Linked DNA regions of Mus musculus: region 1 is reported to be linked to region 2. The links are microRNA targets in miRTarBase. Many come from high-throughput screens and were not tested one by one. Region 2 holds a microRNA gene; the other region holds the end of a gene's coding sequence.
The links. The annotated mature microRNA mmu-miR-421-3p reads AUCAACAGACAUUAAUUGGGCGC and lies in region 2 at 9,099-9,121, shown strand. An mRNA with a match to its seed (bases 2 to 7 or 8) in the 3' UTR can be bound and repressed. Matches are read on the target gene's strand: a 7mer-m8 pairs with bases 2 to 8, a 7mer-A1 pairs with bases 2 to 7 and ends in A, and an 8mer does both.

Region 1 (15,017 bases), not on the chromosome of region 2:
TAATCCTTAAGGACTCGTACCTAATTAATTATGACAAATAAATATTACTCTTATTTCCTATTATCCTAAAGGACAACGTATTGTGGAACAGGCCCATAGAACTTAAAACCATTATCTTCATAACAACCACAAAAGGGGGAATTATATCCCTGTATGCCACAAAAATATTTAAATCATGCTTTTTATTTGAAAATTTTTAAATTTGGATACCATGAAACTCTCTGAGTGTGAGAGGAGCAGCTACTGGTGCTTCTACCCTGAATTTGCAAGGAAAAAATTGTGAGCTCCTTAGTATGGCAATAGATACAGATATAGAAAGGATAGAAAACTCTATTTCCCATTTGCAAGAATCTCTAACCTCCTTGTCTGAGGTGGTCCTTCAAAACAGGAGAGGACTTGATCTTTTATTCTTTCAACATGGAGGACTATGTGCATCCCTTAATTGAAGAATATTACTTTACATCGATCATCAGGAATAGTAAAGGATTCTATGGCTAAAGTTAGAGAAGGAGTAGACAAAAGGAAAAGAAAAAAAGGACAGAATCAGGGATGGTTTGAATCCTGATTCTCCACTTCCCCATGGCTTACAACTTTAATTTGTACACTGCTTAGACCACTAATTATAACCTTATTGCTTTTAACTTTTGGACCTTGTATCTCAAACAGATTGGTTGCCTTCATACGGGATCACTTTCAGCAAGCTCAGCTATTCACCGTGGCAGTTATTCATCAGTATGAAGAAATGCATTAAGTGCATATTCATATGTTCTATGTGGCTTTGGTCTGAATAGGAAAGAGTATGATATAGGAAACCAGTAGTCAGAGTTGGGTAAGAGTGTTCTTGAGCTCCTATCGACCTAGGACAGAGACATACATCAATGCTATGTTTATCCTCCATGATGGGTAAGAAGGAGCAATATAGACACTGACCTAAGACAGGTACAATCACCTGGCCACTCTTTACCCTAGACAGGATTATGGAAAACAAGTAAATCTTGTGCCCCCAGCCAGCAATTGGTACTCCTCATCTTTAAAAAGCAAAAAAGGGGGGATTGTGCCCTTCCCAGCCTTGAGCACGTTTTTTTTTCTGCCTTAAGCAGACTGAATAGACCTTGCCAAATTAGACGTTAATGACCTAGGTGGAGTCATCTGCCTTGGTTGCACATGCAACTTCCTCCAGAAACTTAGAAAAACAGACTTCTCACTGACCTTGCTTTGCAACATAATCCACCTGAAACAAAGGATGGAGTCTGTGAGTGCTCCTATACAAATGCAGTGCTGAATATTAATATGGAGCCTTGATCAGAACCTTGTCTTGGCTTCATTCTTCTCTCGCCGCTCCTGCCCCCTGCCCCCCCCAAGTCTCTTTCATTTTCAGCTACCCTTTCAGGTAAACCCAGTTTGTCCATGGCTCCTGGACAGCTACAAAAAGGCATGCTTTTTCTTAATTTCTCTAACCATTCAGAGGCAACTTTTGTAGCATCAAATTTCAGGGGTTTAGCATCATTTAGATTCAGATTTCTTGATGTAATTGAATTCAATCCAACACTTGCAAGACTCTATCTCCATACCAAGGTTCTGAAACATTGAAAGCATAACAAATGAAGGTTGATGAAGTACCATAGCAATGTCAGATGTACAATTAGTTAAGTTACAGTCATAGCAACTTACATTGAATCTAAACCCATACACAGTGATGTTAATTTTCTCTGTCAACAATGCATATGGCAGGGAAATGCAGGCAAGTACATTTCCCACTGTTGTCAGTCTGAACCCAACCTAGTGTTCATCTCTGTTTAGTAGTTGTGCTAGTTGCTTTAATCTCTCCCAAAGCCACAGCAAGTTTCCAGACATAAGTCTGTGATGATCCAGTGTTTGTCCACCAAAGTCCTGCATGCAGTCCTTTTTACCAGTCATCTGAGTTTGCTTGGGGACTCTGCTCAAGTTGGCATCAGGAAGTGGCCCATCAGCAACAGCAACAGCATCATGTGTCTGGTCAATTGCTTTCTCCACATAGTGAACCAAATGCTCTGGAATCTACCTGTCACTTTCAGCATCCTGTGGAAAAGAGAAACATGCCCTCTTCCCCATATTAATATCTGATCAGAACCATGCCATATGTCAGTAAGTGGGTCCTTCCATTTCACCTGGGCATAAGTATACCTAGTTGTGCCGTGCCATAGATGCTTAGCAGCAACATTTTATTTTATTTTTTTGTAACTGATTTTTTTTTAGAGCTCCATGGAATTGTTCCACAATTCCCTGTCTTTGTGGATTAAAAAATATATTACTATATATCTAACTAATTACTATATATCTAACTATATATTACTATATATCTAACTTATAATATTTTAAAAATATTTTTATTATTAGTTTAAGATATAAATGGTTTATAACATAAGTCTGAACTTTTATAAATATAAGGTATAAAACTTTACATAAATGTTAAAACAAATTCTTTTTAAAATAAATTATATATTTTAAAATATTTAAATGTTTGATTAAGATAATTAGACTTTATCCATCTTATGAAATACTGCCTCAGTATCCACCATAAATTTGCTTCCTGTCTGCAGCAACCTGGCCACAAAATTCTGGAACAACTCAATCTGGACCCTGCCCAATTCCAGAAAAATCCTCCGTCTGCCTCTCTGTAGAAGATAAGTTTATACCAGGCTTTCTTAGTTTAACCTAATCATTAACTTGTGCATAAACAGGTGGGTCAAAATTTAATTGTTGAGCAGTCTCGTGGTACTCTCCCTTTCCTGCTAACATCTCAAACATAATATGTATCTCTTATGTTCGATTGATCTCAGCAGTACTTTGACACTGCTCAGCAAATTCTGACTTCCATAATAAAGAAAATCTCCTGACAACTAGGCCCTTACCAATTGTTTCCAGTCCCAAGGAGGGAGGGCCTCTGTGAACAATGGCTCAAGCATAGCCAGAGTACATGGGGCTGTTGGCCCATAATGTGCATAAGCAGACTCTAATTCCTTAACAGTTTAAACAGAAGAGGTTGATAAACTCTGACTATTGCCTTGAGGACTGACCTGTTCTATAACTGGAAATGTAAAATGAAATCCCTGGACATTCTCTCTTCTCTTACTTAGCAGCCTCTTTCAAGATCACTTACTTGTAAGGGAAATAAAAGCCTCTGTGAAGGCTATCTCCCAGATGGCTTTCTCATTAACTGCTACAACTGGAGGCTCTGCCTCCATCTCTGGAGGAGGGTCCGGTCCAGCTCCAACACTTGGGGTTTTACTGGCTCTCAGCTTAGTAATCCATCTGATGGTCCCAAGATCTCCCCTTGAGCTTGTTGAGCCTGTAAGTTTTGCATTTGCACAGATAGTGAAGTAAAAGCAGTTAGCAGCTGTTGTATCTTCTCTGTAACTAACCTGTCCTTGGAAAGAACTTCAATTCTTCCGTGGCAGCAAGCAGCAAAGAATTCGACTATGATACCTAGCAGTTTCCTCTTGCAGCTGCTCGTCTTTCCCGAATCTAGGATCTCCCTGTTCCTTTCTCCAACATTAACAGAACATTGAGCCCCTTGCCTTGAACTTCAAGTGTATCCCCTCTTTTTATTCCAAATGTAAGCCGGCCAGGAAATCTGCCAGCAGACTCTGACCTACCTTGACTCTGCCTGACAGGCAGGTGTTCACAGAAGCAGGCAAAAATGGCTCCTGACAATGGATGGGAATTAGGAAAACACTGAAACCTGGGGCTCTGAATTTATGATAAAGATAGATTGGGCAGGAGGGCCTATGACAGACTCTTTACAATCAAATTAGATAAGCAAATACCTACACAATTTGCACCTATAACTCTATAGCTCTAGGCCATAATAACATACTGGCACCCCCTCTGCCGTGCAAACAATCCAATCCCCTGAAACCACCACAAGGCATGGATGGGCAAGCCCATGTCCAAACCTCCTACAGAGACATAGACCCTGTCCTATTACATCTTCTTGAAGCCACCTGCCAAGTGCGTAATCAGTCTCCCACAGATCTGAGGACTCTTGACTATGCTTGAATGCCTCTTTTCTCCACCCCACCCCCATATTATTATCTAAGGGTCAATGGTTCACCAAAGAATGATACTCTGGACTCAAACAGTATGTAAATACAGTACTTTATTCTGCAGAAGTCCAGCATGCTGGGGTCTCCCATTACCAAGATAGAGAGATCCCAAAGTGAGCTTTCAGGCTCAATTTAAAGCACATTAGGGAAATTATGGAATAGGTGACCTCTATCTTAATCTGTTGAGTCCATCTCAAAGGAAATTCCAGAACTATGGAGTCATGGGGCTGGAAACTGTTGCTGGAGAAGTCTGGAAACTTGCTGAGGAAGTCTGGAAACTGCGGCTGGCCCTTGCCTTAGGCCAGGTGGCAGGGCAGCTTCTGACTAGCTACCTGAAACCTGTAGTTTTTGTTGTTGTTGTTTTCAGTAACTGACTTGCCTGAGCTTGCCTGGACTTGTCCATTTCTTGGAAACAGAGATTTAGGCCTAGTCTCCTTAACTGCCAATTTGAAGCCTATCCCATCCCTCTCAATGATGGAATAGCCCTTACTTCTTCTGTAACAGAATGTCATGAACCTAAGTATTGCAGATGGCAGCAAGAGGGTTCCAGATGAATCACTCTGGGGACAGGGTAACTCTGTGCCTCTGAGATACTCCCAGTTATGTGACACCAAAGTATCTTGGACAGGTTCAGGGAACTTGGTTCCTTCTGAGAACATGTGGTGGGTATGTTCTACTGGTCTAACTCCATGTATTCACCCTCGAGTCTTAAATGCCTCCTCTGATTTCTGTGTCCTGGTACAAATCATCCCAAGGATAATGTATTGTCTTAGTCAGGGTTTCTATTCCTGCACAAACATCATAACCAAGAAGCAAGTTGGGGAGGAAAGGGTTTATTTAGTTTACACTTCCACACTGCTGTTCATCACCAAAGGAAGTCAGGACTGGAACTCAAGCAGATCAGGAAGCAGGAGCTGATGCAGATGCCATGGAGGGATGTTACTTACAGGCTTGCTTCCCCTGGCTTGCTCAGCTTGCTTTCTTATAGAACCCAAGACTACCAGCCCAGAGATGGCACCACCCACAAGGGACCCTCCTCCCTGGATTGCTAATTGAGAAAATGCCTTACAGCTGGATCTCATGGAGGCATTTCCCTCACCTGAAGCTCCTTTCTCTGTGATAACTCCAGCTTGTGTCGAGTTGACACAAAACCAGCCAGTACATGTATCATTCAGGAGATGTCCAAAATTATTCACTCCTGGGCTTCATAAATGTTTCAAAATTGAACCCATAACTACCATTGTTTTGTCCACCCTCTTGGGTATAGGTATTGCAGGGGCCATAGGCATGTATTTTCATTGCAGGACATAAGAGAAATACATCTGAAACTGAGTTGGAAGCTTCCCCTCTGCTGCCTAGCTTTTACAGGCCTGGAAGGTGCTACACAGGTTGCTGGGGTGAGCTGTCACCAACAGATGCTATTGGCTTCAGCATGCTACTCTCCTGGCCTGGCTGGCACACAAGCTGTGGCTACTGGTGCAACAGTGGCATGACTGATACAGAGGTAACCAACAACTTTCTGATGGTATTTGTGCCAGTTCCATGGAAGAAAACTCACATCCTGACAGTGAACCTGGTCAAAAGCTTGTGGCTCGAGAGGTTTGCAGGGCTATGTGAGGTAAGGTCTTTTTATTCTGCTAAATGTGCATAATCTGTCAAATTGCCTTCTAAATGTTTTTAAGCTCAGAGATTAGTGAGTGCTCGTGTGCTTTGATCAAAGCAGTTTTTCTTTGCAGTAGGCAGTATTTATTACAGATACTTAGAACTGAACTGCTAAGAAAAATGATTTGAATCATCAGCCACAAATGATTATCATAGCACCTTCCAATGACTGTGACATCCTCTATGCTTTGCAACCAAAGTATATGGTATTTTTAGGAACAGTGTCTTGCCCTCTAGTTCTTCTATCAAAGCAGAAACCATTGCCTATGTTGTTTTGGGGCCTCAGAGATAAAAACAAACAAACAAACAAACAAACAAAAAACAAAATTTCAAAGGTCAGCAGATTGGCATGAAGCTAGATTTTCCCTTCCAAGGGTCAGAAAATAAGAGGACTTGAGTAAATTATTATTTCCCTCCATATTTGTTTAACATCCATTACTAATTAATATATATATTTTCTGTAGTTTTTCTAGATGCTCATTTCTAGTTTTAGTCCAGTAAGGTCAAATAGGTTACATACATTTTACTATGGTTGATTTTAGAGAAAGTCTCATGGATTACTGGGAATATGTATTCCATGCTGTTGAACAGAATATTCTGGGTATCTGTTATGTACGTTTGATCTAAGATGTTTCTTTGACAACTCTTTGTCTGGATGGCCTTGCCACTGTTGAGAATTGGATAATAGTTATCCACTATTATTTTTTTTAAAGGTGAAGTGTTTGTGAAATGCTTCCTTCTTGGCATGGCCTGGCCATTGTACTCTTGGCCTCGGAGCTGTGACCACCTATACATCAAGACTAGACTAGTCAACATATAAGGAAGGGATGAGGGACTCAGCAGGCTCTCCCCCCCCCCCCACATCTATCTACAGGCAATTAGTGGTTGCAAGGGAAGAGTTCACAAGTCCCCAACCCCCCTCGGCATTTTATTGCCAGTTACAGCTTCTGAGGAGTCTTACGTTTGCAGTATAAGCATAAAGACCCCAGAGCACACATAAAAAAATGGCCAACTATGGCTTTATTCTTAGTAGCCCAGGCTGGCCTTAAACTCAACTCATGATCTTCCTGTACACTTGTTGTTCTGGTATTGTGGAGGCAGAGACTGGAGGATTCCTGGGACTTCTGGCCAGCCAACCTAGTTTTAACTGCTGAGCATCAGGCCATTGACACTTGTCTCAAAGAGGCTGTCATTCTCTAGGATGGAATCCCAGGTTTTCTTCTGGCCTCTGCACACACATGAACCCTGCCACTCACAGATGCATTAAAAAGAAATCAGCAGTGCTGGGGTACAGGAGAGAGGAGAATTTTCAAAAGAAAATTCTGAGCCTTCTCATTAATAAAGCTGGCTCCTCTGTAAACAAGCATTTGGCTGCTTTAGTGTTAAATGTGTGTCCCGACAATTAGCATACCAAAATGTAGATCTGTTCTATATATTTTATGAATCAATTTCACTTACACTTTTATAATTATAAAATTCACTTATTCATTGCATGTGTGGAGGTCACAGGAAACCTTGTGGAGTTGTTCTCCTTACATCATGCAGGTCCCAGGGGTTAGGGTCATCAGGCTTAGACACAAACATCTTTGCCAGATAATACTTCTTAAGGGCCTAGTCCTCTTTTGAAACACATTTTCTCATTCTGTTAGCCCAGGATGACTACAGCAATCCTCCTGCCTTAGCCTCCGAGTGCTGGGATTACAGCTGTGTACCATCACAGCAGAGTTTTTGGTCTTTGTGTTATTTCCTGGTGTCATATAAGTTTAATGTAATGTAAACGTCCAGATATACCTAGGAAGGTGTGATGGTGGGAGGCAGACACAGCTGGATCTCTAGGAGTTATATGCTAGCCTTGTCTACATGGCAAGTTCTAGGCCAGCCAGGGTTACTCAGTGAGATTCTGCTTCAAAATGAAATAAAAACAGACACATAAGTAAAATCACATTTGAAAATACAATGAAAGGACTATGGTAGAGTATAAAACTAAGGTAAGATACAATCAACTCAGGGAAATCCAGTTAAAAGCCAAATAAAGCTGTATTTTTATACTGTACAAAAGAAATTTTACATTCTTAATGTAGCTAGATACATCAAGGGGGGAATGACACATCCCTCAGGAGACACAATATTTAACATCTGAGATGTTTTATTTCTGCATTGCAGACGGATACTAAATTTTATACATCTTTATTTACAATAAATTAAAATATTTTTCATCTCTGGCAGATATTTACAAGTTCAACAGTGACACATTTCACATTTCAACAATCAACAGCATCGATCCATTCAATAAGACAAGATAATGGCTCACATGCACCAGTACATAAGATCTTAAATGTGCATTTTGGTTTTTTTTTTCTTCAGCTCTGAAACAAACAAAAAAAGATTTTTCACTAGTCCTAAGTTGAAAGACATCTCTTAATAAAGATCATACTTCTTATATGCCTACCCATAATGTTCACCAGCAGAATCCTCTCAATACTTGGGAAGTTTATACCAAGCTATAAATTGATACAGGTTAACAATAACAATAGGCTGATCAAATATATCTGTCCTTTTACAGAAACAAATAATGAAAATGGGATGTTCTGTTTGCCTGTTACAGAAATCACAGTACATAAAGCCAAGGTAGTAAAATCTGTACACTGCTAAAACAGTTTCATCTAATCAGTTTTAAACTGAATGTTAGCCAGCCTAGTTTTTAGAACCAAAAAGATTCAGTGTAAAAAAACATGATAAACCTCATACTAATATTTTTAACATCAAATGGAATATTATCTTTGCACTGTATTCAGATAATAAAATTAAAAGTAATACAAACCATTATCAGTCATTATTTGAAGGCCAATCTTCTCTTCCCAAGAACAATACATTTTTTGTTTGTTGTTTTGAGACAGGGTCTCACTGTGTAGCCTTGGCAGTCCTGGAACTCACTCTATAGACCAGCCTGGCCTTGAACTCAGAGATCTGCCTCCCTCTGCCTCTGAGTGCTGGGATTAAAGGCATGTACTACCACACCACTTAAATATTTATTAACTATAATGTGGTATTAAAAAATTAAAGAACGTGTTTAAAATAGCAGTTAAAAAAACAACTATAAATCGTTATTTAAGAAATCATTAGACAGCTTAAACACTGTAGATCTTTTTGGCCTACATATTTCAGAAGCAGTTATTTTATCTTCTTTTAACCCAACCATGTTTTAATGCAAAGACAAAAAGCAGTCAAGAGTGAACACAGACATAAATGTAAACTAACCTAACCATATCAGTATAGCTAGTATTATACTAGAAATAGATGACACTGTCCATTGAAGGGTACCTTTCAATAATTTTTCCTATAATTTTACCTAAACAACCCATAATATACAATATACCAACTTCAGGAGTTTCCCCCATTTATTCCAATACTGATATGCAAAATCCTTAACTTTAATAAAAATATGTCATAAGGAATAAAATTAAGACTTATTCTTTAATTGGTACTCTCAGTTGAGTACTGACATCTTATTGATGTAGGGAAAAATAGGATATTATCTATTTACTGTATATGTTTTCTAGTTCACATAATGTATTAATATTTGTTTCTTTCAGGGTTAGAAAGAAGTCACTACATTAAAGGGGGGTACATTCCTTAATAGATGCCTTAAAAATGATTTGTCAGCAGAAACATTTTCTTTGGTAAATTTTGTAAATTGATGAAGACGTAAGATGTTTTCTGATATGAGTGACACTGAGCTGTTTACACCAAAATACAGCAACTGCATAGCAAACTTGCAGATGGGGCAGATTATCTGATTAAGTTCATTTTTCTTTGTCAATGAAAAGACCTTCTACTTCCAGATACACAAGTTTTAAAAAAAAGTTGACTTATACCTTAAAATACACCTAATTCTACCTTTTTTTTTTTTTTTTGGTAAAACCATATTAAATGTAGTAGTATAATTACTATCAGACATACGACTATGCCTTAATTTGTAAACATTAAGAACCCATCTTCTCAAAATTCAGAAGCAAAACACAGAAACTCTCCTATGCTATTCCGCCAGTTACCTCACACGACCCGACATTTCTGTGAGACTGTGTCCTGAATTATTTGGTCTTGGATTTTATTTTTCATAGGACAAATGGCTAACATTACAAAAATACTGGAGGAAAAAAGAGAAATGTTGTCATTATGTTGTCAGGATTAAACGAGATGCATCTACAAGGACAAGAGGCTGGGCTGTGCCTCCTATGTAGTAGTTTCATACCAGTGTGATGCATCCATTAGATTCACACACTATAAACAATACTAGAATTTGGCTCATCTCCTTTGCATGGAAAATTGTACTAACCTGATGACTCATTATTTTATTTTTACACTATATTCCATGTTTATATAATCTGGTAAATATTCTATTTTTAAGAGGTTAAGCTGCCAGTAGCTAGTTTTCAGTCACTTATTTTTGGAAACCACTTTAAGGAAATTAGAAGTATTATAGTAAGTATCTCACAACTTGGTGGTGAAGCAACGGCAGTGGTCATTTTGCTTGAGAGAGAAAAGCCTCCTGTTTTAATGCTTGATATAACCACAGTGCAGAAAAGTTGCTCTACGTTCTAATGTTGTAGAATTTCTGACCACTAGCATGACATATTAATCTCTTTAAATTGAAAAACTATGTCATTGGAATACTAAACTTTTTCATTAAATTAAAAAGAAAAACCTTACTTTATAATGTAATTCAAGTTCAGAAATGGAGTGGTCCCACTTGCCAGTGTTTATACAGTATGTTACCCTACCCATAAAGACAGAAACTAGTATTTTTATTTATAAATAAACATACAGTGGATTAAATGAGACACTGATTGTCAACAACTTAAGTACTAAACAATGGACCCAAAGAAGCCTCCTAAGTGAGGTAGGAAAAACGCACCACTGCATTAAGGTATTCACAAAAGCAGTGCAGACAAATGCAACGGAATGTAAAAGCTACTAAATGGAATCGAGACTACCAGCTGGAGATACTGAGCTTATGTAGCTAAGACTACCACACTTGAGTTGTTTTTATCTGGTCTATATGTGATAAATGACCCAGAGACCACTGTGCATGGATTCAAAGTTTCACACTCACTATTCTTCTTTTTCAGTAACGTAGAGGAATATTGCTCTTATCTACTCTAAGCCGAGTAAGGAACAATTTCTCTCTAGATGAAAAATGAATGGAATTGAGTTTATCTTTACTCTGCAATCTTCTACAGTGTACCTTTGATGACTGAAAACTGGCTGATTAAAGATCACTTTCAAATAGTTAGAAACACTGATCAAGGAAATTTCATTGGGTTTATTTTGCATCTAAACAAATCCCCCAAAATACAAATAACATGGCAGCATATAACTGTTATGTGGTAGAAAATTCACAAGGCATAAATTAGAAAAGAATAATGTGCTATACAGACACCTACATTTTGAACACATCCCCATCTGTATTAATTATTTTACTTTTTTTTTCCTTCTGGAATTAATACTTTTCTTAATGTGTTCACCAGCTACTAGACCAGAAACATAAAGAAATAGCAGAAATGGAAGTGTTTCATATCACATTTACTAAAGTATGGATAACCAGAGGCAATGAGGCATCAATATGCACGTGACTAGAGACAAGGTTTGATTATGGCCCTGCTTCTTAGTCATGGGCCTTATTTCACATCCTCCTTTGAGCCTCAGTGTCCTGAGGATGCAATGTGTGTGTATGGCAGAGAGAAGAGCCAAATTATCTCTAGGGTCTCTTCTAGCACAGAAACCTGATCTGCAACAAACAGGCACAGCACAGTGGGCTGCGAAAAAAGGGGCATTGGCAAAGGACCAAGATTTTAAATGACAACTCTTCCCTCCCTAGCTTGTAAGTTAACTTTTTACTTTATATTTTAGCTTTCTTACCAGTAAAACTAACTGAAAGTCATATAGAAAAACTCCTAAAACCTTCAGATACTGTAGTCCTTAATCTAACCTAGTACAGATGGCATCAATATAAGACAAATATTTTCCCCTAAATGCTTTTTTTCTACTAGTGCGATGAAGCTTCATGAAAGCTGAGAAATATTAAAGGGAAGTTATTAAAGGTTAAATTATGGACATTTCTAACTTTCTATGACATTTTTAACAGCTGCTGTATAACTGAACAAAAACCATTTTAAATTCAATGATGGTAACATAAAGTGGTTGAAATGATCATTAGAAAACTTGGTAGTTTGTCTAATTTTAATTCATTTCATTTTAACTGTTATCTTACACAGAAAATGTATTCTAAGACCCTTGCTATAAAGTGTAAATGAAGAACTTGTTCATTGAGACCAAATTATAGCCCAAAGAATATGAAGCAAATGTTTCAGGATTGTGAAATATTACTTGGGATGTATATACAAAGTCTACACATGCCAACAAAAAGATGAAAAAAACCTTTTTTTTTTTTTTTTTTTCTTTTCTGAGACAGGCCTTCTCTGTGTAGCCCTGGCTGTCCTAGAACTCCATCTGTAGACCAGGCCAGCCTTGAACTCAGAGATTCACCTGCTTCTGCCTCTGGAGTGCTGGGATTCAAGGTGTATGCCACCATTCCTGATTCTTAAACCAACTCTTCAGTTATGATGTTTCTAATCAAAAGATTTTTTCTCATATTTACAACAGTTTATGCTATACTTTCAAGTTATTTGGTATTCTCTTGTGCTTTATTTAAAATGCTTGGTTTAAATGCCAGTCTGTTACATGTGCGCCTGTGAGCTCCAGCATGAAGTAGGCGTGCTTTGCCATCTAAGACTGATACCTTCCTTATGCACCACAAAGCCTCTCTGTTCAGTAGGTTACAAAAACATTTTATTTTACTATTTTACAATTCTTTTTTCTTTTAAGTTTACTTGATATCTCTTAGTTAAATTAGTAGAAATAGGGCTAAAATGTGTCTGTGATAAATGGATACACATATCATACGCATATTATAAACAATCAATAGATCACATTTCAGCTTTTAGTTTTACTCCAAAGTTTGGCAATGATGTGGATAATAGCTGAGGTTCTAGTTCCCTATTTGCTGGGAGCTGAAAAATGTTATAAACTATCAAATCTAATTAAGGATTATTCTAACACAATGCAGACAGACAGATGGACAGATAGACAACTCCTCCAAAAATGGTGGTTTATGTATGAAAAAAAAAAGAGAGGCGTTTTCCTGGCTATTTAATTTATCAAATTTTACGGTAAATAGAGATAAAACAACTTTGTCAATTAAGAGGACACTTGCTTCCTATATAGGCAGTGTAATTTTCATTCACAATACATAAAATGTCTACATGTACAAGGGTGTGTGTAACTGATGTTCTTGAGATGGGTAATTCATAGCAATTGAAGTCACACAATACTGATTTTTAAAATCCTAATATATTCCCTTCTTTTTCAAACAAAGCCTGAGACCCAGAAGAGATTATAAGAAAGTCTTATCCAACCAAATCACAACAAAAATCCTTTAAACTAATAATGCATTTTTGTAGCCTCTTAGCAGTTACCAAATGCTACTCATTTACATTCAACATCTAGTTTACTGGCATGATTTCAACGTTTTATAAAAACGAGAAACTTTGCAGATAATCAGAAGATACACAAACTGCAATAAACACAAAGGCAGTGTGGTCCTTGTAGAGCAATCAAGTCAGTACCCTCTGGTAGAAATGTTCTATACAAATGTGTCACATAGAAGCATCAGTGTTTTCAACCAATCACCTGTCCCTGATGTGTTTCCTTGGAGTATATGATCTCAGGACTTTAGGTTTCTGTATCCCATATCTGACTGAATCTAGGTACATCTAGGAAGCAGCTGAAAGGGTTTCTCTAGTCTGATATCTCAGAGAGTGGACTGAGAAATCCCTCTCTTTACCTGAAGACGTACAGTGTCTACTTCAGTCATCACCAACTCACAAAGGAAAGGAAGAAAGAAAACAATTATAACTTCACCTCATTTACAATCTCACACAAACTAAACAAACAACACCCTTCCCCCAACAAAGCCCCAGCACCATAATATCAATCATTCCTGGGAAATAGAACACGCCCCTTTGAGTCTCTGATTTGTTAGTTCAAACTTTAAGGGCAGAAATGTCCTTAAGTCCTTGTGGGAGGAGGGAAGACCTGTTGTTAATGACTAGAGAGCCATTGAGAAAGTGCATTATCAATCACACAATCAACTTAGAGCCCTACCCTCCAATGGAGGTGGTCACAAATTGATTTAAATGCCTCAATAATTAAACATTTGTGTCCTTGGGATAAAGTAAGGGGGGCAGTTAGCCTCATTTTAATAAAAAAATTGCAGTAGTCTACCACTTTCCCCCATGCTTCCCAAGAATATAAAATTGCACAGGCTCAGAGAAGCCCAAAGTCATAGCAGAATCTCTGAGGCACTCCTGGTTAGAGAGAAAACATATGATCCAGTTATCTTCATAGTTCATAGATTATGTGAACAAACCCGTTTTGTTTTTAAACAAAAGCCAAAGAATCATTTCATAGGGATCTTATACACCATTTCCTCGACATCTCCTCAGTCTCACAGTGTTGAAATGGGACCGATCAGCCTACGATGGATTGCACATCACCCAAGGAGAAAGGAAGGCATGGAAAAGGCAAACGTTTTACACTGCTTCACAAACACATTTAAGGGAATAGGTAGAGAGGTTAAAAGAAAGGAAAGGAAAACCTTATTGCTGTTTCCATACAAAATACAGTATGAGATACCTAAGCTAAGTCAAATCTGATGACAGTGACATCTTTTCACAATGCGGGATGACGTGTCTTGCACAATGAAATGTTCAGTGTAGAAGGTTAGCAGAACAAGGGGCATCAGAACTACACCTGGGATATTAGCTGCATATTGAAACTTGGGGATCGAGACTGCTTGGTTAAGGGGGCTCCTGGGCTGAGGAGCTCTTTACCTTCACCAGCGTGACCTAGCCGGTCTTCTTGTAGACTGATAGTTGAATATCGATTAGCATTTGTAGCTGCTAGATTAGTAACTCCCTCAGTGCCAACCCCAATGCTGGTACTTGCTTGACCGCCATTTACATAGTCAAAAGATTTACTTGAGGAAGCACTGGCTGTCCGGATTAGACTCAGACTATTGGTTTTTGGCACCACCTGGCCTGCAGGCAGGCTCAAGTGTTTCTTCATCGGTGTCAGCTCAACTGAATCTATGCTGAGATCTGCTTGTTGTTGTACAAACTGCTTTCCAACTACTGAATCTCGAGGGCTCTC
Region 2 (15,542 bases):
GGTTAAAGGACTAATTATTACTCCTATCACTTTAGTGTGGCTCAAGGTAAGCCCACCTTCCTGAGTGATTGTCCCTTGGCCAAGCACATGACTCAGCCCAACTGGATTAATTTGTAAGGGAGGAGACAATGGCATGCCTGCACCCAGAGGTAAATTCCATTCTTTCTGCTGGTAGATAACAGACTTCCGTAATGTGCCTTGAATACTACCGCTGAAACATTTCTGCTACTATTTCCATTATACGTTATAGACAAGTCATCCAACGAGTGAAGTTCAAACTTTGCTCAAAGAGTACCTTCTCTGAATCTAATCATACAGCAGCCTGCCATGCTAGTGCTTTGCTATATTTTCTAGTATTGTCTTTGTAACTTCATTGATAGTCTTGATATTTTTTTGGTATTTTTATCCCCCATGATCAGTCTTTCCTGATAACTTACAGTCTACCACACTTAAAAATGGTACTCCTTCGAGGCCACCCTGGTCTACAAAGTGAGTTCCAGGACAGCCAGGGCTATACAGAGAAACCCTGTCTCAAAAAACAAAAACAAAACAAAACAAACAAACAAAAAAATGGTACTCTTTTCAAAGCAGTATATTGATTCCGAAATAGAGAGCTCTCCTTTGGAAGGAGCCAAGCATTTCCAGAGAACAGTTTGTTTTCTTATACATTGGAACAATTAGAATTGTTTGTGTGTAGGGGACATGTACATTGGGGTCAGAGGATAAGTTGATAGTTCTCTCCACCAAACTGGGTCAAACTTGGCAGGATGCATCTTTATCCCATGAGCAATCTTACCAGCCCAGTATTGTAAAATAATATAACCATCCCTTAGTTTCTGACTCCAGGGCCCCTACCCCTAGTGTTACAGCTTTCATGAACAAGAAAGCCTTGCTCCTTGCTTTTTGGCTAGATCACCTCCCAACTTTTTCTTTTCCGGGATTGCCTTTGGTCCATTACAGAACTAAGAAGACAAAAAAGGTTCTTGTGGGGCAAGTGCTGTCAGTCAGGCCCTGCATTGCCTGGTCTCTTTAGTGCTCTCTAGCTCTAGGTTTTCAACCTCCCTTTAACTATTTTGGGTTCTGTCTTTCCCTATGGTGGTGGGTCTCAGCCTGTGAGTCTTGACCCCTTAGCAATTGTCTACGACCATTGCAGACACAAATGTCTACAATAAATGTATAACCATAGCAAAATTACACGCATGAAGTACCAATGAGAATAGTTTTATGGTTGGGGGTCACCACAACATGAAGAACCGTCTTAAAGGGTCTTAGCATTGGGAAGGCTGAGAACCACTGCTCTATGGAAACTTATGGAAGTTACTCTGCCCCAAAAGTCACTTGGATTAACCCTGGCCCCTTAGCCATTCCAAATATGAGACTTGTGATCATTTTTACTCTGCCATTTGATCTTTTTAATGTGCTCTCACAGGACAACTTGAGCAGAATCTAAGAGATTCCTTTAATTACAAGGTGCAAATGTCTGCTTGGCATTAGATTTGCTGTCTCTTTGGAAGGTGTGCCGCATCTTTAGAAAATCTGTATCCTTTATGCCTGCTGCTACCCCCAGAATCTTAAGACAAGGGTAAGTTGTTTGAGATAAGGAGTGCAGATCCTTACATTAAAGGTTCACTGAGTAGGCCCTGCTGAGTTTTATGTGTAAGCATTAGAACGTTTTAATCAGTCTCCTTTCCTTCTGTAGGCTGGTGGGCTGACTCAAACTAAAGGAAACTGCATGACCCCCTCCAGCATTTTAATAGCTTGGCTTGTCATCTATTAAGGAGCAAATGGAAATCGTAGGAGTGTAATAGGAAATGTTATGGATACGGGTGATACAAGTATATGTGTTGCTTTAGGACAAGAAGGAAAGAACATCTTTCCTTTTAGATCAGCCTGACTGGTTGATTTTTTTTTTAACATTGCATAGTGCTTTCAAGAGCTAACATTCCAGGAAGCATGTATTGTAAGTAGGTAAAAACACCAGTTCTGCTCCAGTTTGTTGACAAGGCATAATCCTTTATCTGCCCCCCAGCTCACTCTAATTCTGATTTCTCCTATTTTGGAATTTATTGTATGTCCAGTGTATTTCAAGGCGGAATTTAAGGGCTGTAAGAGAACCCACTCATTTAGGACCCCTGAACAATGTTGCAAAATATGGTTTTCTGTGGCCTAATGCTATGCGATCAAGGGGCTATCAACCAACAATGGGGTAGCGTGGGAGAAAGAAATGATTTTTTTAAGCCAGGTTGTCTGTGTGTAGCTTTGGCTCTCCTCAAATTCACAAGCTTCTGCCTTGCTGTGCCTCCTAAGTCTGCCTCGTGAGTGTTGAGGTGTGTGCCACCACACCTAACTTCAAACATTCTCTTAACATGAATAGGAAAAAGGTTTTGTAACACAAGTTGCCCAGCTTATCAGGTGTGTTTGAAAATGTGATAGGTCAGCTCTCCAGCCACTGGAGTAATTGATAACAATGACTGTCGCTAAGCAGAAATGGGCAGTTTTTCTGTTTCTTTAGCTTGGAGCCTGTTCAGCACGCTCATGGACCCTCATCTTTCTATCATCCCCTTCTCTTTTGGAGATTCAACTCTCAGGGCACACTTTTTATCCCTTAGTCCTACACTATTCTAGAACTCATTTAGCACAGGCCCACTTGTGAAGTGTTGAGATTAAACTTGTCAGCCATCACTCACAGTCTAGCAACATGACTAAGCACGTATTTTCTTTCTCTTTATATTTAAGGATATAATTTTCAAAAGTTAATGTAAGAAAGGTTTCCTTAATATCACATCTATATTCCCCTGGTCAGGGAAGCCGGTTTTCTTCAGAGAAAATTTGATTGCTAGAAAAACTAGTACCTTATTTGTTCCTTGGGAGTAAAATACTATGTAATGAAACTCATTAGTAACTTGGGTGTCCTGGTGATACTACAATTTTCTTGCTAAGAAACTACAGAAGGTGCCTCTGGTTTGCTGTCGTTCCCATTAGAGTAAGACCCAGAGGTGTCCACGTAGATGCTATTATCTGTGTTTCTTTTTGAGACTGCCTGTCTTCAGCCTTTTAAATTGGTGTTTTAGTATGCATTCTGCGTTTGACCTTTGACTGGATATGTGAACATGATAGTGTGATAATTCCGAGTTTGTGGCCAGCAAGGAGCTCCTGTGCATTAACCTCTAGAATGTTGAAAGAGTAATGAAGAGAAGAAAGAAAGACCTCTCTTGTCATCAGGAGGGGGGATGAGCCTGAATGCAGTAGTGCTCTTTGTCTACCAAGAAAAGTAAATGTTTTTATGGCTGTTACATATAATGACTGCACACAATATTCAGTTTGGACCTTGCAGGTGAGGTACTTAGATATGCCTATTTTTTATTGTCTTGAATGCTTTCATTGCACTTACACAAATCCCAGTGTCACTACATATAGAAGAGTGATTCGTGTGGATTTGAGATTGAGAAGTAGCACTGTTAAACTGATTGCTTCAAGTTGTCCTTTGGCTCACATCCTTATTGTGGCGTGTGTGCATCTGCGCACACACACACACTCACATCCCACACCCTCAGATTAATTAAGGATAATGCTACTTTCCCATTCCCTCTGCATTCAAGTCACTGAGGCAGGTGGGTGACTGCCTTCTTAATTTTTGAATTCAAATTCTAGCACATGAAATATTGCCTCAGTAATGTGTAAGTGCCCTCCCTGTTTTTTGATACAGAATATTTTTCCATTACAAGTAATGAGTGATCAGAGTTGCCCAATACTGTGTAAAATGTAAGGAAGGTCAAGTAGGCAACAAATGCAAAAATCTTATCATTTTATCACAAAATGCAAAACAGTCCTTAAAACTTTGGGAATCAGAGTAGCACTACCAATCTTGTAAGGGTTGGTTATCTATGGAAAGTCAGATTAAATTCTCTTTGATATGCAATGTCCTTGACCTTTTGGAAATACTGTTCCTCCACTGATAAATCTCAAGGTCCTCTTTTCATTTACAAATGATCAAGGACAGGTTAGTAATAGCACTAAAACCAACATCCTTTGCTTTAGTCATCAGGTAATATATTTCCGGTAATAAGCTATGTCCTTTTAAAATTTAATTTAATTATTTTGGTTTTTGGTTTTGGTTTATTTTTAGTATGTATGTATGTATGTATGTATGTATGTATGTATGTATGTATGTATTTTGGTTTTTCGCGACAGGATTTCTTTGTGTAGCCCTGGCTGTCCTGGAACTCACTCTGTAGACCAGGCTGGCCTTGAACTCAGAAATCCACCTGCCTCTGCCTCCTGAGTACGGCAATTAAAGGCATGCCCCACCACTGCCCGGCGCTATGTCCTATTTTGCTCATTAGTTTATTGTGTAAGGTTATCTAATGATATTGAATCGCACTATCAAGCTTTGAACATATGGTTAAATAGAATTTCATTGTACTAAAAAAAAAAAAAAAGAATTTCATTGTACTGCTGAGCTTTCTTAGTACTTTCTCAATAATAGCATTGGAATAATTTGACTGCTTTAATGGGTGTTATTAGCAAACCCTTTGATGGTAATTGTGGAACTGCTTTTCTTGTTCATGGTAAGTATATATGCTCTGTGTCACTGAACAGTATGTCTTAATGGAAAGCTGAAGTAGGATAACTTAGAATCATACCACTGTTTCTTGTTTCACGTGACTTTGACCTGATATTTGCTGAAACAAATGAAGTCTTTGAAATTTAGGTTTCCTACAAAAAACAAAGGATAGCAGTATACTGTTCATGTGCTCTGTTTTCTCAGTGGGCATGTGTGTTGCTAGCCTTTGAATCCAAAATATTTTTTTCATGACTTGGTAAACAGTGTTAGTTTTGCTTGTATTCACTTGCAATCTCTTAAGGATATGCAAGAGTTAAGTTTCTAGGAATAATAAACTATGAGGATTAGACAGTCGCACACAGCTCCAGTGAGCTTTATTTAATGACAGATTTGTGCCATAGAGAGTTCTGGAAACACTGAGCAGGTTATAAGATGCAGATTCCCAGGGAACAAACTTCAAGAGAGTGTGGATTACATGCTTAAGTCTGATTTGTATTTGCTTGTTTTCATTCTTCAGTTGTTTGTTCACTTGGGGTGTTTGTTTTTAGTGCTTTGGGTTTTTTTCTTCTCAGGATAATGAGGTGAATTTTATTAGAAGCCAATGGGTAAGGTAGTTCATTTCTTTAGCTAAGCTGACATGGCAGTCAGGGTCTGTTTTGTAACCACCAGGCATCTTGGTAAGGGGAATCTACCTTTATTACTCCAAATATCTGGCTTCCTAGAACTTTGAGCTTAGCTTTAGGGAGTGTGGTGTTTGATTCAATATCTTTATATATAAAGGGTATGGGCATCATTTTTTGACTCTACTTCCTGCTTGGGAGGGGAGCATCATGCCTTTGGGGTCTAGAGTGTGATAAGGAAGGACACCTGACTGCTTATCTCAGAAATATCTCTACTCAGAAATATGCAACAGAAGCTGTGGCGCCTGCCTTTAATCCCATCACTCCATAGGCAGAGGCTGGTGGATATAGGAGTTCAAGGACAGCTTGATCTACAGAGCTAATTCTAGGACAGCCAGGGCTAAATATGGAAATGCTGTCTCATAAACAAAACCAAAAAGCAAAAAATCACCTGTATATACGAGGCACATTGGTTTCCAGTTATTCCATTAAACAGTTGTACTTGAATGGACCGTGAGAAGACAATTGATTTAGTCTGTGGTACTGGTTTTATGAGTTTCACTAATGCTGTTTATCTTTCATTGTGAGTTTCTATTGCTCTGTAGTGTCCTGAATCATTTTATCCTACTTCTGTATGATGTGTCATGAGAATCAACTCATTGTCTTATTGAAAACCCATCAAAAATAATTTGTGTCTCATTGCATTTTTGTAGGATTATATTTTCAATATCTTAGACTGTGTCACCTTACTGTCATGAGTAGATTTGATGTCTGGGTAACTTTTTGCTATACGCTGTTCATTCATGGATTGATTTTTGTTTTTTAAGCTTCCTCATTTACTCTCCTTTTGTGACTTCCATTATGTACCCTAACTATAGAATTCTTCTAAGACACTTTAATTTTTTGTACAATGCTTAAGACTTATTACGAGTGTTATTTGCTATATATGTTGGATTATAACTTATATTTTACCAATAATTGTCTTTTTGTGATAATTGATACTGAAGATTTTCCATTTGAGCGTCTTTGAGATGAGAATACATAGTTCCGTGCAGCCCTTTCTTCTACCTAGAGTGTTTTGTGGTTAAATGTGCTTAGGCTTTAACCCAGGACCTTGCACATGCTGGGCAAGTCCTGCTCTTGTACACCTTAATCTTTTTTTTGTTTGTTTGGTTTTTGTTTTTTTTTGTTTTGTTTTGTTTTGTTTTGTTTTGTTTTGTTTTTCGAGACAGTGTTTCTCTGTATAGCCCTGGCTGTCCTGGAACTCACTCTGTAGACCAGGCTGGCCTTGAACTCAGAAATCCACCTGCCTCTGCCTCCCGAGTGCTGGGATTAAAGGCGTGCACCACCACCCCCGGCCTGTACACCTTAATCTTGAAAATCAACTTTAATCCTTAACCGCTTTGATGGTCCCCATTTTCTAGTAAAACTTTGTTTCTCCACTTGATATGTTCCCATTTAATGATCACCACAACAGCCTTCTGATGCATTCCAGTGAGGTTTTAAAGGCAATTATCTAACACCTAAGCACAATCATAAAAATTCTGTGCACCAGGAAGACTATAGTCTACCCTTGCATATCTAATATATATGTAGAAAACAAGCGCAGGAACTCTGGGTATGTGGGATAGAGCATTTTGGAGGATGTTCCTGTTGCCTGCTCATGGTAGAGCATGTCCCCAACATGTGTGTTACAAAGGGCTTAATCTCTAGCACAAAAAAAACAGGCAATATTATTCACTTCTACATTTTGTTTTTGGAATAGCTGACAATGAAAATTACAAACAGTATTTTATAAACATAATCTGTAAATGGGAAAATCACATCAAGGATACATTCCCTTTGTCTACCTTGAAATGATCCAAGGCCAGCCTTGTCTACAAAGCCAGTTCCTGAACAGCCAGGGCTACATCGAGCAACCCTGTCTCAACAGGGTAAACAAGGAATGAAAGAAAGATTGATAGTCTCTTACTATGTTAGGTAATGTAGCTTTTATGCAAACTTTAATCAGTGGTTCTGAAGGCTTAAGTTTTCAGTAACATATTGTTGGAGAAATTTGTATCCAGACATCCTTATTGGCCTTGAATTCGTTTAAAGGTATTTTCTGCTCCTTGTCTAAGGGACTGCCAGAAAATGGGTTATACTGCAAGGTTGTGTTTAGTTGAGTATGGATGAGAATTGGGCTCAAGACACTGGAGCTGCTGTTCATCTTCCTACTTGGCTCAGAGACATGACGATTTATACCAGATTGTCTGTCCATTTTAAACTTCTAACTATGAATATAGATACACCTTAAGGGTCTTCAATTTCAAGGTGCTTATTACCCTATAATCTTAAACCCCAGGCTAAGATTATTTATTGATAATGCTGCCAACAAATGTCTTTTAACTCATGAGTAACTTTTGTCGGGGCTACAAGGGGTTTTTTAAGAGTCTGTTTCCCTCTCAGATCACTTTTTCATGTTGATCTAAATGTTTGTCCACAGTTCAAATCATTTATTATTATTATTATTCAGTTCTCTCAGTAGTCAGGATATTGAATTAGTCCCAAAGATGAGAGATATTCAGGTATATAGATTAAACCTTACAGGCTGACTAGTTACTCGCTAAGAGGTTTGGGGTAGGATATATGGAGGAGAGTTTTACAGGGAAGGAATTTTTTGTCATGGATAGCTGCCATCCTCTCATTCCTTAGATATACATTTAGTTTCTTCTCCATAGAAGAGCCGTATCTAGGAACTGCCAATCCTCAGTAAGACACGGAGATAGCAGCGGTGCCCCATCATTCTCATCTGAATAGTCTCTTGTCACTGGCAGGCTTTCTCCTGAACTTTATTTTTCTTTTGAAGTGTTTAGAGACTTGAAATGTTCATTGCTTTACTTTGAAGCATCAGATATGTGTAATATCCACTCTAGGGTTTCTGATCTCAAAGCATTATAAAGCAAGGCATGTTGGCACATGCCTAGAATCCCAGCATTTCGGGTCCTTATACAGGAAGACCATCTTGACTTTGAGTCCAGTCTGGGTTTCATAACAAGTCCCTGACTGAAACAAACAACAAAATCTATGAACATGTTTTCTACTCAGACCTATCGTATTGATCTTTACTATTCAAATAATGCATTTATAATGAGGACAATTTTACTTAAGTAAATGGTTCAGATTTGGGAAAGGAAGCTCTGAAGTGTGCATGCAAACAGTGACTCTAGGGTTTGGGCATAGGCATTAGCTGGCCTGTTTGTTAATTGCGTCCACTCAATGCTATCTTAGTTATTGTTGCTGTTAATGATGGAGCGGGCAATGCAAGAATTAAAAGAAGAAAGTTAATTATTATTATACCTTTTGAATGGTCAATGGTGTTGTGGGGAGGGATCATGGACGTTTTTAATGATTCACTAATGTGAAGTTAGCCCATGTAGGAAACTCGATGATTCTTCCATTCATGCTCTTGATTAGTAATCTATTGCCTTTCTTCTTTGTTCTAAGTTAAAAGCTTTTGAAAACTTGTGTTATAGCTGAATAAAGGTTTTTGTATAAACACAGAAAAGGATGTTTGGGGAATGGTCACAGTTGACCTGAAGCCGAATTCTAACTGATAACTAGCTATGTTAGTTCTTGTGACTGTCATCCCTGGAGAGCAAGAAACAACAGCTGGCCTTGGTGATCAGGAGAACTTCATGGATCGCGCAGCAACCTGGAGTGGTGTTCCTCTGAAGAAATCCTACTCGGGTGGATATAATACAACCTGCTAAGTGTTCTAGCACTTAGCAGGTTGTATTATCATTGTCCGAGGTTATGGCTCTCGTCTATCAAACTAATCCGTAAGGGCAAGGATGGTGACTTTGTACTCACAGTGCCTAATCCGGTGCACATTGTAGGCCTCATTAAATGTTTGTTGAATGAAAAAATGAATCATCAACAGACATTAATTGGGCGCCTGCTCTGTGATCTCCATGGGCTCAGCTTGTTCCTGCCAGTGGCCTTCAACGTTCAAGCTCTCCGCAGCGTCCTTATTTCTGCAGCTCATTCCTGTGTTCTGTGTAGTATAATCATAGTGGATATATTTTACCTTTCAAACCAATTCCAATTGATTGATAATTGTGCCTCGACTGTGTTTTATAAAAAGGATTCCATATCTGGTTCTTTTCTATCCTGAGGGTGTGGAAGGAAGGGATAATAGCTCATGTACCATAAATGTGATATTTTCTATGAAATACTGTATTTATGCCTGTGTTTTGGAAATGCCTGCTTGTCATTGTTGCATCTCTGTTGTTGTTACTATAATCGCTACCGATTACTCCCTAGGTTGGACTACAGTGATCACTGAGTAGGAGCTTCGTCTTTAAAATCTGGGGTGTGCTGTTATGGTTGGTATTCATTTTCCTTTACCCGCTTTCCCCATACCTCCATTTATAATTTTATTGCTGCTCATAGCTCCAGAAGGATATAGTAACAGAGCAGGCATGGCCTCAGTGTGGTAAGCTAAGTGAGAACAGGAAGTGGAACCAGGGTAGAAAACCCCAGTCTTGCCCCTAGTGACACACCTCAAGCAAGGTTCTCCTTCTGAAAGGTCCCATTACATTCCCAAATGTAGCCACCACCTGGGATATGAGTGTTCAAATACATGAGGTAGGGCCACGGTGTTCCTTCAAAGCACCACAGAGGGCAGAATGTACACCCTGCTAGAATAGCTTTCTATGAAAGGATCCATCTCTTCACTGGAGCAGGCAGACATATGAAGAAGACAACTTGGAGTGGTCGTGAAAGGATTTGAGGTTTGGCATGGACTCTAAGAAGCACGAGATTTGTGGTTTTCCTTCTTTGTTTCTTGCTAGGTAGTCCTGGCTGTCTAGTAACTACCTACAAAGATCAAGGAGACCCCAATCTTGTAGCAATCCTGCTGCTGCCTCACAATTGTTAGGATTATAGACATGGGCACATGTTCATTAGAAAGTTGCACTGTTCTCTAATTCATCTTTTAAGATAAACTATAGAGGGATGAAGATTAGCATGTTACACCACCACAGATAGAAACCATTCTAGTATCACGAAACATCCAACTCATGTAGAATTTCCATTCGCTGTTTGGGATGATAGAGAGATGGAATTGAGTTTTTAGAAGGTAAACCACACAAGAGAGTCTAGGGAACTGACAGAGCCTGGCTGGACTGCACAGTTCGTCCTCAAACGACTTTTTACTGACCCAGCTCCTGAGGAAAGGACCCTGGTGTCTGAACTTCAACGCTGATTTAATAATCATTGTTTTCATGACTGGTCCTTTAGAAATCTGGCCTGCTTTATATTTGCCCCTGGGGCTTAGACAAGGGAGAAAAATGGAAAATACTGTCCGAGGTAACCACAGCCACACAGAACCTCATACACCAAGTGGTTAGCCTTATCATAGAGCACAGGTGCCTGTTCTCAGTCACATGCTAGCCCTGTCTTAGGATTTTGTTTACATTAACCATTCTATTTCACAGTATTAATGTCCTTATACACAAGATACACAGAAATCTTTGTTGTGTTAGACATCAACAATGAAAAATCCCTCAGGCCCAAATATCAGAAGATAGCACGAAAATACCAAGTCAGAACGAAGAGGGTGGCCAGTGGATTTGAAGGTAGATGCAGACTTTATCATGGTTACTCCTACAATACAGAACATTCTTGTTTATTAGTCTGATACCAGCCATCTGATGTCATGTTGGCAACTAGAGAAGCTTTATATAAGAACAGGAGCTCTGTAAGAAAATATTGTAGGAATTAGGCTTTATAAGACAATCGTGGCCCTTGGCAGTCTTGGTTAAGTCTCTTAGGATGGTTAGGGTAGAACTTAGGTGTGAAAAGTCTTGACTTTCAATTATTCTACATTGAATTCCCAGAACACCTGAGTCAAGCTTTATTGTGTTTATTACCCTTGGTCTTGCCTCCTCATTCTTGTGTGGACTCCTTAACTCCTGCCTCTCTTTACCCAACCCAAATGTGTTTCAGCAATCTTCTTTCCCTGCCCAGTACTGGATCTGTGAAAAGCTGAATCATGAATCAGTGAGTGTGCGGATTGGAACCCAAGTTGCTCTCTGGATAGAACGAAAGGAGTCGTGCCCCAAGAAGATGGAGAGGGAAGTTATGAAATGCTGTGACCAAATAACAAATGCTGATGTTTGGGGAGATAACTGTTTCCCATAGGAAATAGAGTGAATGCGATGTCTTTCTTTTGTGAGGGATTCATAGACCGCTTCTCAACGCTTGTTACATGTTACTCCTTTTTTCGAGATTTTTATTTACCTAACTGGGAAAGAAACCAGAACAAGGTTTTCATTGAATTCTGATACAGGTATTTAAAGACTTACGGACAAGATATAGAAGAAGAAGTGGTAATTAACTGATTAAAGAAGTACAGTTTATATCCAGTAGACAGACAGGCTCCAGACATCCTTAGTGCTGTCTTAGCATCAAAGGTTAATCTACCTAATACTTGTCATCCTGAAATGCATGGTGGAACATCCAACAGACAAGAGCTACTTCAGGGAAGGACTATGATTTTTGTCGTGGAAGACATTTAACACAGGGCAGCTCCTGTGCACTTACATGATAGATATTGCTCTTCCGGGGACTCTGAATGCTCATCCCACTTTCAGCTCACTAGGCACATCGAACTAGAAATTTTATCATCTCGTGAATTAGTCCAATACCTGAAGGAGCAAGAGAACCAACACCCAGTTGACAAGAATATGACCTGTTGATTGAAGACCATTAAGAAAGTAACTTGATTCAGTTGGACTGGACTTTTTTATTCTATTGAAAAAGGAATTTATTTCCCCTCAGTGAACGTAACATGATCAACATTTTGAAAGTTGTGAACATGCATAGTTCTATAATTTACAAAATAATTATAAAAATCTGAGTATGGATGCAGCATAATTTCAGAACAGAATAGCCATCATACTTTTTATATATCTTAAATTCGAGTTTTCAAGAGTATATTTCTATGTTATATCCTTTGATTAGTACAATATAAAATCTACATCTAATATGTACTTCAGGTTTTATTAGATCATGCCATATTACTGTACAATTTGGACTTTTCCATTTTTATATAAAATGTAACATGCATTGTACATTAATATTTATATATCTTGTTTATTTATATATCTTTAGAATTAATTTCTGCCAATTATTTTCTTTATTTGAATACTTGGGGTATCATAAAGGTGCTGTTGAGGTATTCTCAATATGCTTGTACAACTTCCTGCCTGTAGTTAATAAATGTGGATATTTCATTAAACAATTGAAATATAACATTTTGATGGTATCTGATTGTAGTTCTATAGATTGTAAAATATATGTAGTTGCATATCTTCAGTCCATGCAGACTGTTTTTGTGGCTGGGGGTTGTTTCCTGGAGAGGGTGTGTTGCCTTGCCTTTTCTTGAGTTGTGTATGTGCCATCATGCCGAGCAGTTGGAAGTCTTCTAAATTCAGTCACTTTTTACCCCTTTGCGTGGGAACGACTAATTTGATTGATATACATAGCTAATATTTTGACTTCTAGAAAGTGAAATCCGTAGAATCATATGTAATGTTTAGAGTTTGGAGTCTGGCTGCTCTCACTTCCTAAATGTAATTGAGATTTACCCATGCAGATGGGCATTAGACCATTCTGTAGTTATTTAACGTGGAATATTTCTGCTTCTGACAGTTACAAGCAAAGTTCATAGGTAATTTTAGGTATAATTGTCCTTAGCTCTGTGTATGAGTCAATATGATTATAGTAGCCAGACACTAGAGGTATCCGATTTCGCCTGGACCTGGTGTTACAGGCATTTGTCAGCTGCCCAACATGGGTGAGTTTCCTTTTCTTTTGGTGTTTAATTCTTCCCACCTTCCAAATATTAATTCTGTCAGAAGATCTGCCATTCTTTCCTTTGCTGCGCACTGTACTTTCATGTGATCCCATTTATCAGACTTTGCTATTATTTCTTAAGCTGTTGTAGTCTTTTGAAGAATTATTGCCTATGCTATTAATTCAAAGTATTCTCCATTTTCCTATATGAGTTTGTGGCTTTATTTTAAGGTGTTTTATCCATTTTTTTATCCATGGGAACTTTTGTTGAAAGCAGGGAGACATGTCCAGTGTTTACAACTGAGCTCTCTGCCATTGGCTCCCACTTTGGTAAGGGAGCTGAATGATGGCTATGGCTTTCAAATATATGAGATAGATGCCCGTGGTACCTAATATGGCAATTCACCGAATTCAAGGTACAAAGGAAGGCCATCTGAAAGTGATAGGACCAGTGAGCGTTCCTACTAAGTCTCAGAATTATTACCCTCCCCCACCACCACCCCCGCAAACAAACAAAAATCCCTGTGGTAAAGGCCCCAAGGCATGGGATTGTTTCCCAGTGAGAATGCATAAGCACAATAGTTTGTCAGTATTGACCCAGGAGTAGAGGCTGAATTCACCATTGCACATGCCTATGTCAGCTATTTTAATAAACTTATTCAGGTAAGTGGCTGGAGCGATGGCTCAGGAGCCTTTGGTTGGATTCCCAGCACCCTATTTTGCCTTCTGCATGGAATATGCGCATACATGGTATAGAGACACAGAGACATGCAGGTAGAACATCTATGTGCATAAAACACTACCAATCATGCTAATAGTTTTTAAAAGGAGGTTTTCTGCGACATCCATGTTAGGTGTCTATGCAGTGTAGTCTGAAGTGTGATGTTGGTGTTATTCGTTGGTCTGAGGATTGCTTTGGCTCTTTGCATACGAATTGCAATATTTTACGCTAGTTATCTGATGAATATCATTCAAATTTGCACTTAATTTGTAGATCACATCAATTAATATGACTTATTCTATGTTTAGTGTTGGGCAGTGTCTAGTGTATTAATCTGCTTCACAGTTTTCATTTCTGAGATCTTGGTTACATTTATTTATACTTGTTTAATATTTATAAATCTCTTATGCATGGAATTTTTTTTAGTATAGAATAGAGTTTATTTACAACATGGGAAGGGAGTTGAGGCTGTAGAGACAAAGAAAGGCAGAGTGAGAGACAGTTTATTTACAACATGGGAAGGGAGTTGAGGCTGTAGAGACAAAGAAAGGCAGAGTGAGAGACGGGGGACGGGGGGTGGGGAAGAAGTAGAGGCCGTCCATGAGCACTAGGAGAGAGAGCAAGAGGGCAAGCATGAATGTTTAATATTACTTACAGAGAAGCTGCAGGTGGCAATGGTTTGTGCCTCATTTCTGTAGCTAAGAATTCAAAACTATATTGACTAAATAATATGAGGGCGGGGCAGCCCTATGTCATTCCTCATTGCTGAGAAAAGTTTCAGGTAGACACCATTCATCATTGTGTTGTCTCTGCATTGAGTATAGCACTTATACTCAGATAATATTCTTCTTAAAGCATTGTCAGCATCTATTAAGATGATCATGTGATTTCTGACCTTGATTCTGTGTATGTAAAATATTTCATTTTTTTGTATTATGAAACCATCTTTTAAATGAAACCAGTTTACTATGCTCTGTTGTCTTTTCATTGTGTTCTTGAATTTAGTTTGCAAGTATTTTATTGAGGATTTATGTTAATCAAGGACAAAATATTTTGCATATTCACAGAATGTGCTTGGATGAAGTCCTTTCTGTTATATGGTAGAATTCAGCAGTGAGTATTATGTGGTCCTGAGCTTTTCTTCATTTGGAAGACATACCCTGGATGAGTGGTTGTCTAGCATTCAATGATGTGTCATCATTGTACAAACCTGTATCCCCAGCACTCTGAGAAGAACACTAGAAAGAATAGCAGTTCAGAGTCGTTCTCAAGTTCATAGCCAGTTGAAGCCTTGAATATATGTCACCTGTTCTTAAAAACTTTGGGTGTGTGAGTGTGTTTGTCTGTGTCTCTGTGGTGTGGGTGTGGGTGTGTACCCCGAGAATTGCAAATTTCAGTCATAGGTGAAAAAACAATTTTGGTGGTCAAAGGGAAATAATGTATTTATGTTCTACATTTATTATTTCCCATTAACTAGTAGATTTGGACATAATTTGTTCCTTTGTCCAATTCCATGAGGTATACAGTTTGCTTTAGCATTCTTTTTTGATGTTGTAGTTTATTGCTATAAGCTTCCCTTTTAGAATCCCCTTCCCTTTGTTTCAAAGCCTGAAATGTGTTGTGTTTACATTTTGATTTGTCTCCAGATAGTTTTTGCTTCCCTTTTGATTGCTTCTGTGACCCACTGATTGTTCAGGGGTATGTTGTGTCATTTCCTTGTATTTGTAAAATTTCCAAACACCTTCCTGTTATGATTTCTTATTTCATCACTTTAAGGTCAGAGGTATTACTTTAA

Region 1: the mRNA of Fam126b is a reported target of mmu-miR-421-3p. Seed matches in the 3' UTR shown: 7mer-A1 at 13,302-13,308, 7mer-m8 at 8,016-8,022, 7mer-A1 at 8,008-8,014 and 8mer at 7,985-7,992.

What each region holds. Positions count from the first base shown.
Region 1 is chr1:58,515,046-58,530,062 of GRCm38, forward strand. Fam126b (family with sequence similarity 126, member B) reads right to left here. Exons shown (of 13, transcript NM_001310598.1): 13 at 7,761-15,017. The coding sequence ends at 14,613. It overlaps Gm15834 (a long non-coding RNA gene), which reads left to right. Exons shown (of 4, transcript XR_865442.3): 2 at 5,390-5,703. Among named protein-coding and RNA genes, the nearest start is that of Gm15834, 17 kb to the left of the region's middle.
Region 2 is chrX:103,566,509-103,582,050 of GRCm38, reverse strand. It overlaps Mir421 (microRNA 421), which reads left to right and starts at 9,055; the gene lies at 9,055-9,130. The region is part of intron 9 of Ftx (Ftx transcript, Xist regulator (non-protein coding)); the gene reads left to right. Mir374b (microRNA 374b) reads left to right here and starts at 8,897; the gene lies at 8,897-8,991. Mir374c (microRNA 374c) reads right to left here and starts at 8,966; the gene lies at 8,918-8,966.